Linked DNA regions of Sus scrofa. The protein of the gene in region 2 interacts with the protein of the main gene of each other region in a pairwise test. Links are inferred from orthologs where the notes say so. Each region holds a gene or a part of one and is shown on either strand. Other genes may lie near its edges.

The links.
Region 1: the proteins of MAPK7 (region 2) and UBE2C interact in binary tests that used the Homo sapiens proteins (3 or more experiments, as listed by UniProt). The two-hybrid records come from large-scale screens. The link is inferred for Sus scrofa from reciprocal best matches to the Homo sapiens genes MAPK7 and UBE2C.

The regions. Positions count from the first base shown.
Region 1 is NC_010459.5:48,017,077-48,021,408, reverse strand, and holds the start of UBE2C (ubiquitin-conjugating enzyme E2 C), read right to left. Parts: upstream 3,007-4,332; 5' UTR 2,921-3,006; coding exon 2,820-2,920; intron 2,277-2,819; coding exon 2,249-2,276; intron 1,474-2,248; coding exon 1,387-1,473; intron 955-1,386; coding exon 750-954; intron 637-749; coding exon 577-636; intron 140-576; coding exon 81-139; 3' UTR 1-80. Other genes in the region: DNTTIP1 (deoxynucleotidyltransferase terminal-interacting protein 1), read right to left, coding at 4,076-4,214, 4,328-4,332. UniProt on the Homo sapiens protein: Accepts ubiquitin from the E1 complex and catalyzes its covalent attachment to other proteins. In vitro catalyzes 'Lys-11'- and 'Lys-48'-linked polyubiquitination.
Region 2 is NC_010454.4:60,145,647-60,150,021, reverse strand, and holds the start of MAPK7 (mitogen-activated protein kinase 7), read left to right. Parts: upstream 1-1,278; 5' UTR 1,279-1,653; coding exon 1,654-1,885; intron 1,886-2,421; coding exon 2,422-2,587; intron 2,588-3,161; coding exon 3,162-4,240; intron 4,241-4,339; coding exon 4,340-4,375. UniProt on the Homo sapiens protein: Plays a role in various cellular processes such as proliferation, differentiation and cell survival. The upstream activator of MAPK7 is the MAPK kinase MAP2K5.

The DNA.
Region 1 (4,332 bases), on a different chromosome or scaffold from region 2:
CAGAAATCAAGGAAAGGACAGACCATCTAAGGAAAAATAATAAAAAAAGACAACACAGGGAGAGAGCTGGACAGCCTGGGTCAGGGCTCCTGGCTGGAGACCTGCTTGGAGTAGGTTTCCTGCAGGTACTTCTTAAAGGCTGGAAGAGAACGAGGAGGTCTCAGTAAGCCATGGGCACAAGGGTTAAGGTTGGCAAGAGGGCAGCAAGGATACAGCTGTGGGAGGAGTTTGGGGGGTTGGGGAAGGGTTTCCCAGCCCAACAGAACTGTCCCCCGGCTGCCCACCCAGCTGGGGAGGAGACTTGGGGCCCTCAGCAAGCAAGTTGTTCGCACAAAGCTTTGCCTTCTACTGAAAAAGCCCCTCAACCTACATGAATGCGACAAATTCTGATTTTATAGCAAACAGGCAAACCAGAAACACCAAGGCAGAGGTGGAACTGGGTTACCTGGTTGAACCCCCCCCACCCCCCAGTCATCCAGACACATTCCCAAGTCACTGGAATCCTTCAGTAGCTGGGGGGAGCCTTTGATGGTTGGGGAGGGATGGCTCGGTGCCTGAGAAGGATGAAGGACCCACCTGTGGGGTTTTTCCAGAGCTCGGCGGCATGTGTGTTCAGAGGGCTATCGATGTTGGGTTCTGTGGATGGAGACAAAGAGCAAGGTCAGGTCGGGGTAGAAGAGGCTAGAAGAGGCTGTCCAACCCGGGAACAGGCTCCCAGGTTGGGGGGGAGAGGCCGTCTCCGCAGTCACCTCCGAGCAGGCTCTGGATGGAGAGCAGGATGGTCCTGACGTCATACAGGGCGGACCACTTGTCTTTCAGGATGTCCAGGCAGATGTTTCCTTGGGTGTCCACGTTGGGGTGGTAGCAGGGCGTGAGGAACTTCACTGTGGGCGCGTTGTAAGGGTAGCCGCTGGGGAACTCCAGAGAGAGCTTATACCTCAGGTCTTCATATACCTGGAGAGAGAGAGACTGGGGAGTAAGCCTCTTTGCCTGAGCCTCAGTTCCAGCTCAGGCCCCACGTAAGGGGCTTGTCAAGACCCCCGAGTTTGTCTGGGACTCGGCAGAAGACAAAGCATTAAACTGGTGGTGCCTTCCCGCCTAGCTGGTGGGACATTGCGACCCTTTGGGCGAGGGCCCACTGGCCTAAACCCTCAATTGCCCTTCATTCTTTTCCTTGCCGTCTGGCCCCTGGAAGTAGCTAAGATGGAGACCCCGCCTTACTGCGCGGATGGAGAGCAGGGCCACAGGCTCAGGGCTCCAGGAAGACACAGGGGAGTGTCCCACCAGGTGAGAAGACTCAACGCAGAACTGGCACCTGGATTTCACCTCCCACCTCTCCCCAGACTCTGCAGAGTCACCCTCACCTACTCCGACCCCTACACTTACTGTGCCGGCTGCTCCATGGATGGTCCCCACCCATTTGAAAAGGTTGTCTGACTCAGGGAAGGCAGAAATTCCTTTGTCGCCAGACATCTGGGGAAGAAACACAACACTTGCTGGGCTGAAGAGTGAGTGTGCTCTTGCAGGGGAGGGTGTGGGTGAGGGAGCCCCTGCCCCTTAACCTCATCACATCTGGACCCAGAATGGAGCAACCAGGCCAAATTGATTGATAGGCTCTTCTGAGGAAGTGGGGAGATCCTGGGGGCTGAATGTGCCCCCCGGGAGGACTGGGATTAGGTTTATCACCAGCCTAAGAGGGAGGGGTTGTGTGGGGGAAGAAGAAGGCAGCTTTGTATCCACAATTTTGCTGGTTGCTGGGAATTCAATTTGACATGCCATTGAGTGCTGGTTGGACACAAAGCCCAGAGACTATTCACAGGCTGGGAAGATAAACAGCGTGGGCACTGAAGGATTTGAGTTGAATATCCAGGGTTAATGTAGAAAAGACTGGCCCGAAGGAAGCATTCCAAGGTAGGATGGGATTAGAAATATTTAGGATGAAGAGTTGGGTGTAGGTAAATTTTAGGACAGGGAAGTAGAGCCAGGAAGGACAGAGGGAAGGCCTCGTAAGAGAGCTGTACTTTAAGGATAACTTCTTTGTGGCAAGATGGGACTGGGAGTAAAGATGCCTGGGGGGAAGATGTGTAGGTGGGGTGTGTTAACTTCTTCCCAGAGGAGAGCAAGCTGGACTCATCTTTTTACCCCATGCCTATCAAAGAGCCGGAGCTAGGAAAGGAGGCTACTGATAAGTGACTGGGAGGTGGGAGGGGAGACCAACTGGTTGGGTATCCGGGCACCAGTCACTTACCATGAGGGTCATCAGTTCCTGCTGTAGCCTGTGAAAAGAGCATCTGGGGGTCATCTGAGAGTCCAGGGCTCCAGGAGGTGCATCTCTTCCCATCCCAATCTCTCTGGAGCAGCTGTCACGGAGGTTTCCCTCTACCCTGAGGTCGGACTTAGCTGTGGGCATGGTCACCCCCATTTCCACAGGGGGGTCTTAGTGAGTCCACACCCTTCCTAATGCCAGGCTCCCGGAAGGAGAGCTCTGGCTTATTCTTAACCCCTAATTCTGCTTCTCTGGCGTCTCTCTCTGTGCAGGATCTCAATTTCTCACCTTCTAGCCCCCTTCCCCGCCGCCCTCCAGCCAAGCCACAGAGGGTCCCCAGGGCATCTTCATCTTGGCTCATCCACGGAGGATCCTGGCAGCATCCCTACCCCTTCTGTCGTCCTTCAGAAGTAGGCGATCTCCTGGCGTGTACCTCTACCTCTCATACCTCAGCTGCTCCAGGAGAATGTGGGGGTCCCCGGAAGTCTTTGCTCTGGGCTTCAAATGCCTAGGGCGTGCCAGGCCCGGCAAGTGTTCCCTCGGCACCACTCACCTCTTGCCCACGGGGCCCCGAGCGGCACCCCCGCTGGGCTCGGCTCCTTTACGGGCGGCCGCGAAACTGGCGGCGGCTGGGTCGCGGTTCTGGGAAGCCATCTGGGCAGCGCTGGGAGGGAGACAGGATCTCAGGGTATCCGGAGACCACGGCTGCAACTGCAGGGCCGCGGTCCCGCCCGCCCGCGTTTGAATTGTAACCCTCCGGAGGTGCCGGCCAATCAGTGGCTCGCTTGGGTTTAATCCAGCCAATGGGGCGCTCTGTCACTGCTGCATCCACCCACCAGCGCACCACTATTGGGCGGCTGGATCCCTCTTCAGATGGGCGATTGGTAAGAGAGGCTGTCATTAACTAACGAATCTGTAGTGGATTGGTGGCCTTTGGAAAACGCCGACCATTAAATGGCCTAGAAGACATCCACGTGGGATGAATCCCTTGGCTACTACCGCACGCCGGCTTAGGACTCCCTGCTCGCAGAAGGGAGGGTCTCCGATTTCGGGGCCCTGGTACTTATCCCCCAAACCGGATACCCCAGCTCCTCCACTTGTTATTAATGTCCTGGGCACTTTGGTTAGGGCCTTAAGGGTCTGAACCGTCAGGCGAGGGTAAAAACTAGTGGCCGAGGGCCAGAGCCAGAGACCCCCTACTGGAAAACAGGTTCAACGGTGGCCTCTCCAACGGCTTCCTGTGCTACCCTAGGCACTTAATTTCGTGTTTTAACCTTAAAACGGGGGTAATAAAAGCCGCCTTACATTTTCCTGCTGGTTTGTCATCAAATGTCCATGATCCCAGCCGTCACATTCTGCTACTCCCATGCCTTAGTTGGGTGAGGAGATAAACAGGGACAGGAAAGGCTGGCAGCAAGGTACAGGCTGTTCCCAGTTTCTCACGGAGCAGATACGCACAGGCCACTGGGCTTCCTGGGATGGGGGAGGGGTGCTTGGGCCTTTATTCCCTACACCCACTTCCTCTAGGGAGAGCCCTTGATATTTTGTCAGCCCCCAGAGGCAGACTTCACAGCAGGCTCACCATCTGTGTTTATTACAAACTGTTTAATTGCTTCTTATCCCAAAAACTTTACAAATATAGAACCACATGCCAGTCTGGGGGTGCTCTGCAGTGAGTCACTACAAACTAGCCCAGGCATAGCTTAATGCTGCTGAGATCCATCTAGAAGCAGTCCCAGCAGTGACCTCAGCCATGTGGGTAAGAGGGCCTTAAAGGAGGGCTGCCAAGTGTAGCCAGGGGACCTGGCTTCAGGTCTGTGGAGGTGCTTCAACAGCGCGGTGCTCGTTCTCTGTCCGTAGTGTCTCCATGTACTTTCGCATCTTCTCAACCATCCAGGAGGGTAGGACAAAGGACTTCAGCTCCTCTAACTTCAGGTCCAGGCATCCTCTGGGACAGACATTGAAGAGGAGAGTTGGAGCAAGGGAAGATGTAGGTCCAGGCTCATCCCAGGGGCTACTGTGAGGCAGGGGGAAGGGTAGGGGACAGACCGCTGGTTTTACCTGTA
Region 2 (4,375 bases):
AAAAAAAAAAGAGGGAGAGAGACCAAGATTTTTTTCACTTGAGTATTGTTTGAGTTTTGAGCCATGTGAAACAACTTTTTCTCAAAGTAGTCAGTTGTCAGATGCAGCGAGCTCATAAGGCAAGGCTGAAGAATGTTGGTTAACTGATGACTTTGGAGTTCCCTGGTGTCTCAGCGGGTTAAGGATCCAATGTTGTCACTGATGTAGCTTGGGTTTGATCCCTGGCCTGGGAACTTCCGCATGCCTCAGGCGTGGCTAAAAGAAAAAAAAAAAAAGGTGATTGATGGCTTTTCCAGGACGGAGTCACGGTGGAAGTAAAGCAGCTCATGGCGCATTCAAAAGTGAGTGAGAAACGGAGTTGTTGCCAGAGAATGCCTGTAACTTGTCTACCCATCCCAGCTAAAACATGCAGAGGAAGCACTTGAACGATTCACAGTTTGTCAACCTCTTCTGATACTTTCTGCTTTATTCCCGGATCAGACGGGACGGTCACACAGCCAGCCATCGGGTCCCCTGCGGCCTGGGGCGCCGCATCGGCTCGGGCCCCGCCCTGCCCTCTCCGGGCACAGCTGACCCTGCGGGCCTGTCTGCTGCCCCGCAGCCTCGGCGCGGGAGTCGCTGCACCCAGCCACCCTGCGGAGGGGTCGCGCCCGAGGCCGAGGCCCCGGGCCGCCGGAAGCTGAGCGGAGAGGACCAGCCACCGGAGGACCGGGATCTCTGGTGGGATGTGGCCGACCACCGGCTACCTGGGATGACAGATTCCCAGCGTTGGGTTCCCGGGACCCATCGGGGAAACGGAGGACGTAACCCCAGGGGTGGTAGGTAGGGGCTGACAAGGGAAGAGGCGCCTAAAGGAGGAGGACGTCCCGATGCGGCCGCCAGGGTGGCATCCGGCCACCTCATCCCCCCAAGCTCCCGGGACCAGCCGCGGCAGCTGGGCGCAGATGCCCCTGCCCGTGGGGAGCGCGCGCGCGGGGGGCGGTGCCTCCCAGTCTCGCGGCGCCCGGGGCTGCCAGCGCGCATGCGTGCGAGGCCGGCGCCAGGCCGCAGCGCCCCTGTGGAGCGCCGAGTGCCTGCTGGGCGGCTCCCGCCAGCGGACTGGCCGGCGGTGCGCGCGCTGGTGGAGGCGGGGCTTCCTCGGCAGGGGGGCCCGGATTGGGCTCAGCCAGTGGAAGGGGTGGGTGCCTCCGCCGAGGCCATCCAGGGATTGGCCAGAGCCTGCGGAGGCGTGGTCTCGGGGGGCGGGGCGGGGACCGGCCCGGCAGAATGCGCGCCGCTGAGGTGGTGGTGGAGGCGGCGGTCTAGGGAGCGGGAGGGTCTTCGGGTCCCCCACCCCGACCGGGGGCCGGGAGGCCGGGGACCCCAGGAGGCGGGGGCCCGCGACCTCCAGGGCTCGGGCGGCGTCGGGGTGAGGCGCCGGGCGCCGAGCGCGGCCCGAGAAGAGCGGGCGCCCCGCCCCTCGCTTTCTTCCTGGACCGCGCCTCGCGGCACCTCCCCCACCGCCGACCCCGCGCCCCGCGCGGACCTGAGCCCGGGGCCCGCGCGCGCGGTGGGGGACGCGGGCTGCGCGCATCGCTCGCTCGGGCCGGCCGGGTGCGGGGCCCCTGAGCCCGGCGGCGGGCCCCTCTTCCCCAGCGTTTCCGCGCAGACGCCATGGCCGAGCCCCTGAAGGAGGAAGACGGCGAGGACGGCTCCGGGGAGCCCCCCGGGCCGGTGAAGGCGGAACCCGCCGGCCCCGCCGCCTCCGTGGCGGCCAAGAACCTGGCTCTGCTGAAGGCCCGCTCCTTCGACGTGACCTTCGACGTGGGGGACGAGTACGAGATCATCGAGACCATCGGCAACGGGGCCTACGGGGTGGTGTCTTCCGCGCGCCGCCGCCTCACGGGTGAGCGCCGGCGGGCGGGCCGGGGTGTGCACACTGGGGGCCAGGCGCCCGGTGCCCGCTTGTGCAGGGCCCAGGTCTCTGCAGCCCCGGCGCGGTGGGTGCCAGCGCATCGGTTCGCGTCCTCCTCAGAAAGTCGAGCGTCCGGGTGAGACCAGGGTGCAGATTTCCCGGAACGTGTTCCGGAGCCGAGGCTGGCGCAGGCGGTTGGCGGTGCCATAGCTGGGGGCAGAGATGGGCCGAGCAGGGCGCTAGCACGGCGTTGGAGTCTAGACTCTACCCCTCGCCGGCTGGCAGCGCCGCCCGCAGGGAGCCCCGGCTCCACGTGTCTTCGTGGGCTCTGAGCACCTGCCGGGGAGAGGAGGAGGGGCAGCTGGTGGTGCAGGTGCTGTGCTGAGCCCAGGACCGGGCACACAGTAGGCGCTCGGTGCAGGGAAGCTGTTGTCCCTGCGTCTTAGAAGGGAGGGGGTGAAAGGGGCCGCGCGCCACTCCGAGCTCCGCCAAGGTCCCTCAGGGCATCCGCTTTCCCTGCGCCCCAGGCCAGCAGGTGGCCATCAAGAAGATCCCTAACGCTTTTGACGTGGTGACCAACGCCAAGCGGACCCTCCGGGAGCTGAAGATCCTCAAGCACTTCAAGCACGACAACATCATCGCCATCAAGGACATCCTGAGGCCCACCGTGCCCTACGGCGAGTTCAAGTCTGTGTAAGGAGGGGCGGCGGGAGGCAGAGCGGGCACCTTTTCGGAAGGCTGGGGCCATAGCGCTCAAGTTCTGGACCTTGTGCAAGGCAGGCTGGGCAACCTCCCACCATCCCAAGACCAGGGCTCCCTTGGGGTTTTGCCGGGGCCACCCGAGATTCCTCCGGAAGAGCGTGAGGTAGCTGCGTAGGATGGCAACGCGCGGGCTGGCAGAGGGAAGCCCCGCATTCCGTGTCTACCATGGCTGCTCCCCTAGCAGACATCACTAATCAATCACAGACTACGGAAGCCCCTCCCGTCTCCATCACCGTCTTCCATGAGCCACTACCAGACCTCCCCCGACAAAACCTATTGGCCAGGCGGGTTTAGCCCAAGCCCACCTTTTCTCTGGTGGCGACACTAGTAGTTTCCCTTAAGTTCATGGAAAGTTGTAGGACATCTAGAATCTTCACACCACCTGGGTGGCGCCTACAGCATCTGAGAGTTAGGCCCCGACCCGTCTGGAGCTGGGAGAGCTGGGTGAGGATGGGGCTGGAGCGTCACCAGGACCCCCCGCCCCCCGCCTCTCCCCTGCCCTCAGCTACGTGGTCCTGGACCTGATGGAGAGCGACCTGCACCAGATCATCCACTCCTCGCAGCCGCTGACGCTGGAGCACGTGCGCTACTTCCTGTACCAGCTGCTGCGGGGCCTCAAGTACATGCACTCGGCTCAGGTCATCCACCGCGACCTCAAGCCGTCCAACCTGCTGGTGAATGAGAACTGCGAGCTGAAGATCGGGGACTTTGGCATGGCCCGCGGCCTGTGCACCTCGCCCGCGGAGCACCAGTACTTCATGACCGAGTACGTGGCCACGCGCTGGTACCGCGCCCCCGAGCTCATGCTCTCGCTGCACGAGTACACGCAGGCCATCGACCTGTGGTCCGTGGGCTGCATCTTTGGGGAGATGCTGGCCCGGCGCCAGCTCTTCCCGGGCAAAAACTACGTGCACCAGCTGCAGCTGATCATGATGGTGCTGGGCACCCCGTCGCCGGCCGTGATTCAGGCCGTGGGGGCGGAGCGGGTGCGGGCCTACATCCAGAGCCTGCCGCCTCGCCAGCCCGTGCCCTGGGAGACCGTGTACCCGGGGGCCGACCGCCAGGCCCTCTCCCTTCTGGGCCACATGCTGCGTTTTGAGCCCAGTGCCCGCATCTCAGCCGCTGCCGCCCTCCGTCACCCCTTCCTGGCCAAGTACCACGACCCGGATGACGAGCCCGACTGTGCCCCGCCCTTTGACTTTGCCTTTGACCGTGAAGCCCTCACCCGGGAGCGCATCAAGGAGGCCATTGTGGCCGAGATCGAGGACTTCCACGCGCGGCGAGAGGGCATCCGCCAGCAGATCCGCTTCCAGCCTTCCCTGCAGCCTGTGGCCAGTGAGCCCGGCTGCCCCGACGTTGAGATGCCCAGTCCCTGGGCTCCCAGCGGGGACTGTGCCATGGAGTCCCCTCCGCCGGCCCCACTGCCGTGCACCGGCCCTGCGCCCGACACCATCGATCTGACCCTGCAGCCACCCCCGCCGGCCAGTGAGCCAGCCCCTCCAAAGAGGGAGGGTGCCATCTCGGACAACACCAAGGCCGCCCTCAAGGCCGCCCTGCTCAAGTCCTTGCAGAGCCGGCTCCGAGGTGCGTGGCAGAGGCGGTGGCTGGCTGGGGAGTGGGGCCGAGGGGACCCCCCCCAGCCTGGACGGGCTCTTAGTGTCACCCTGCCCGTCTTCCCCACAGATGGCCCCAGCGCCCCCCTGGAAGCTCCTGAGCCTC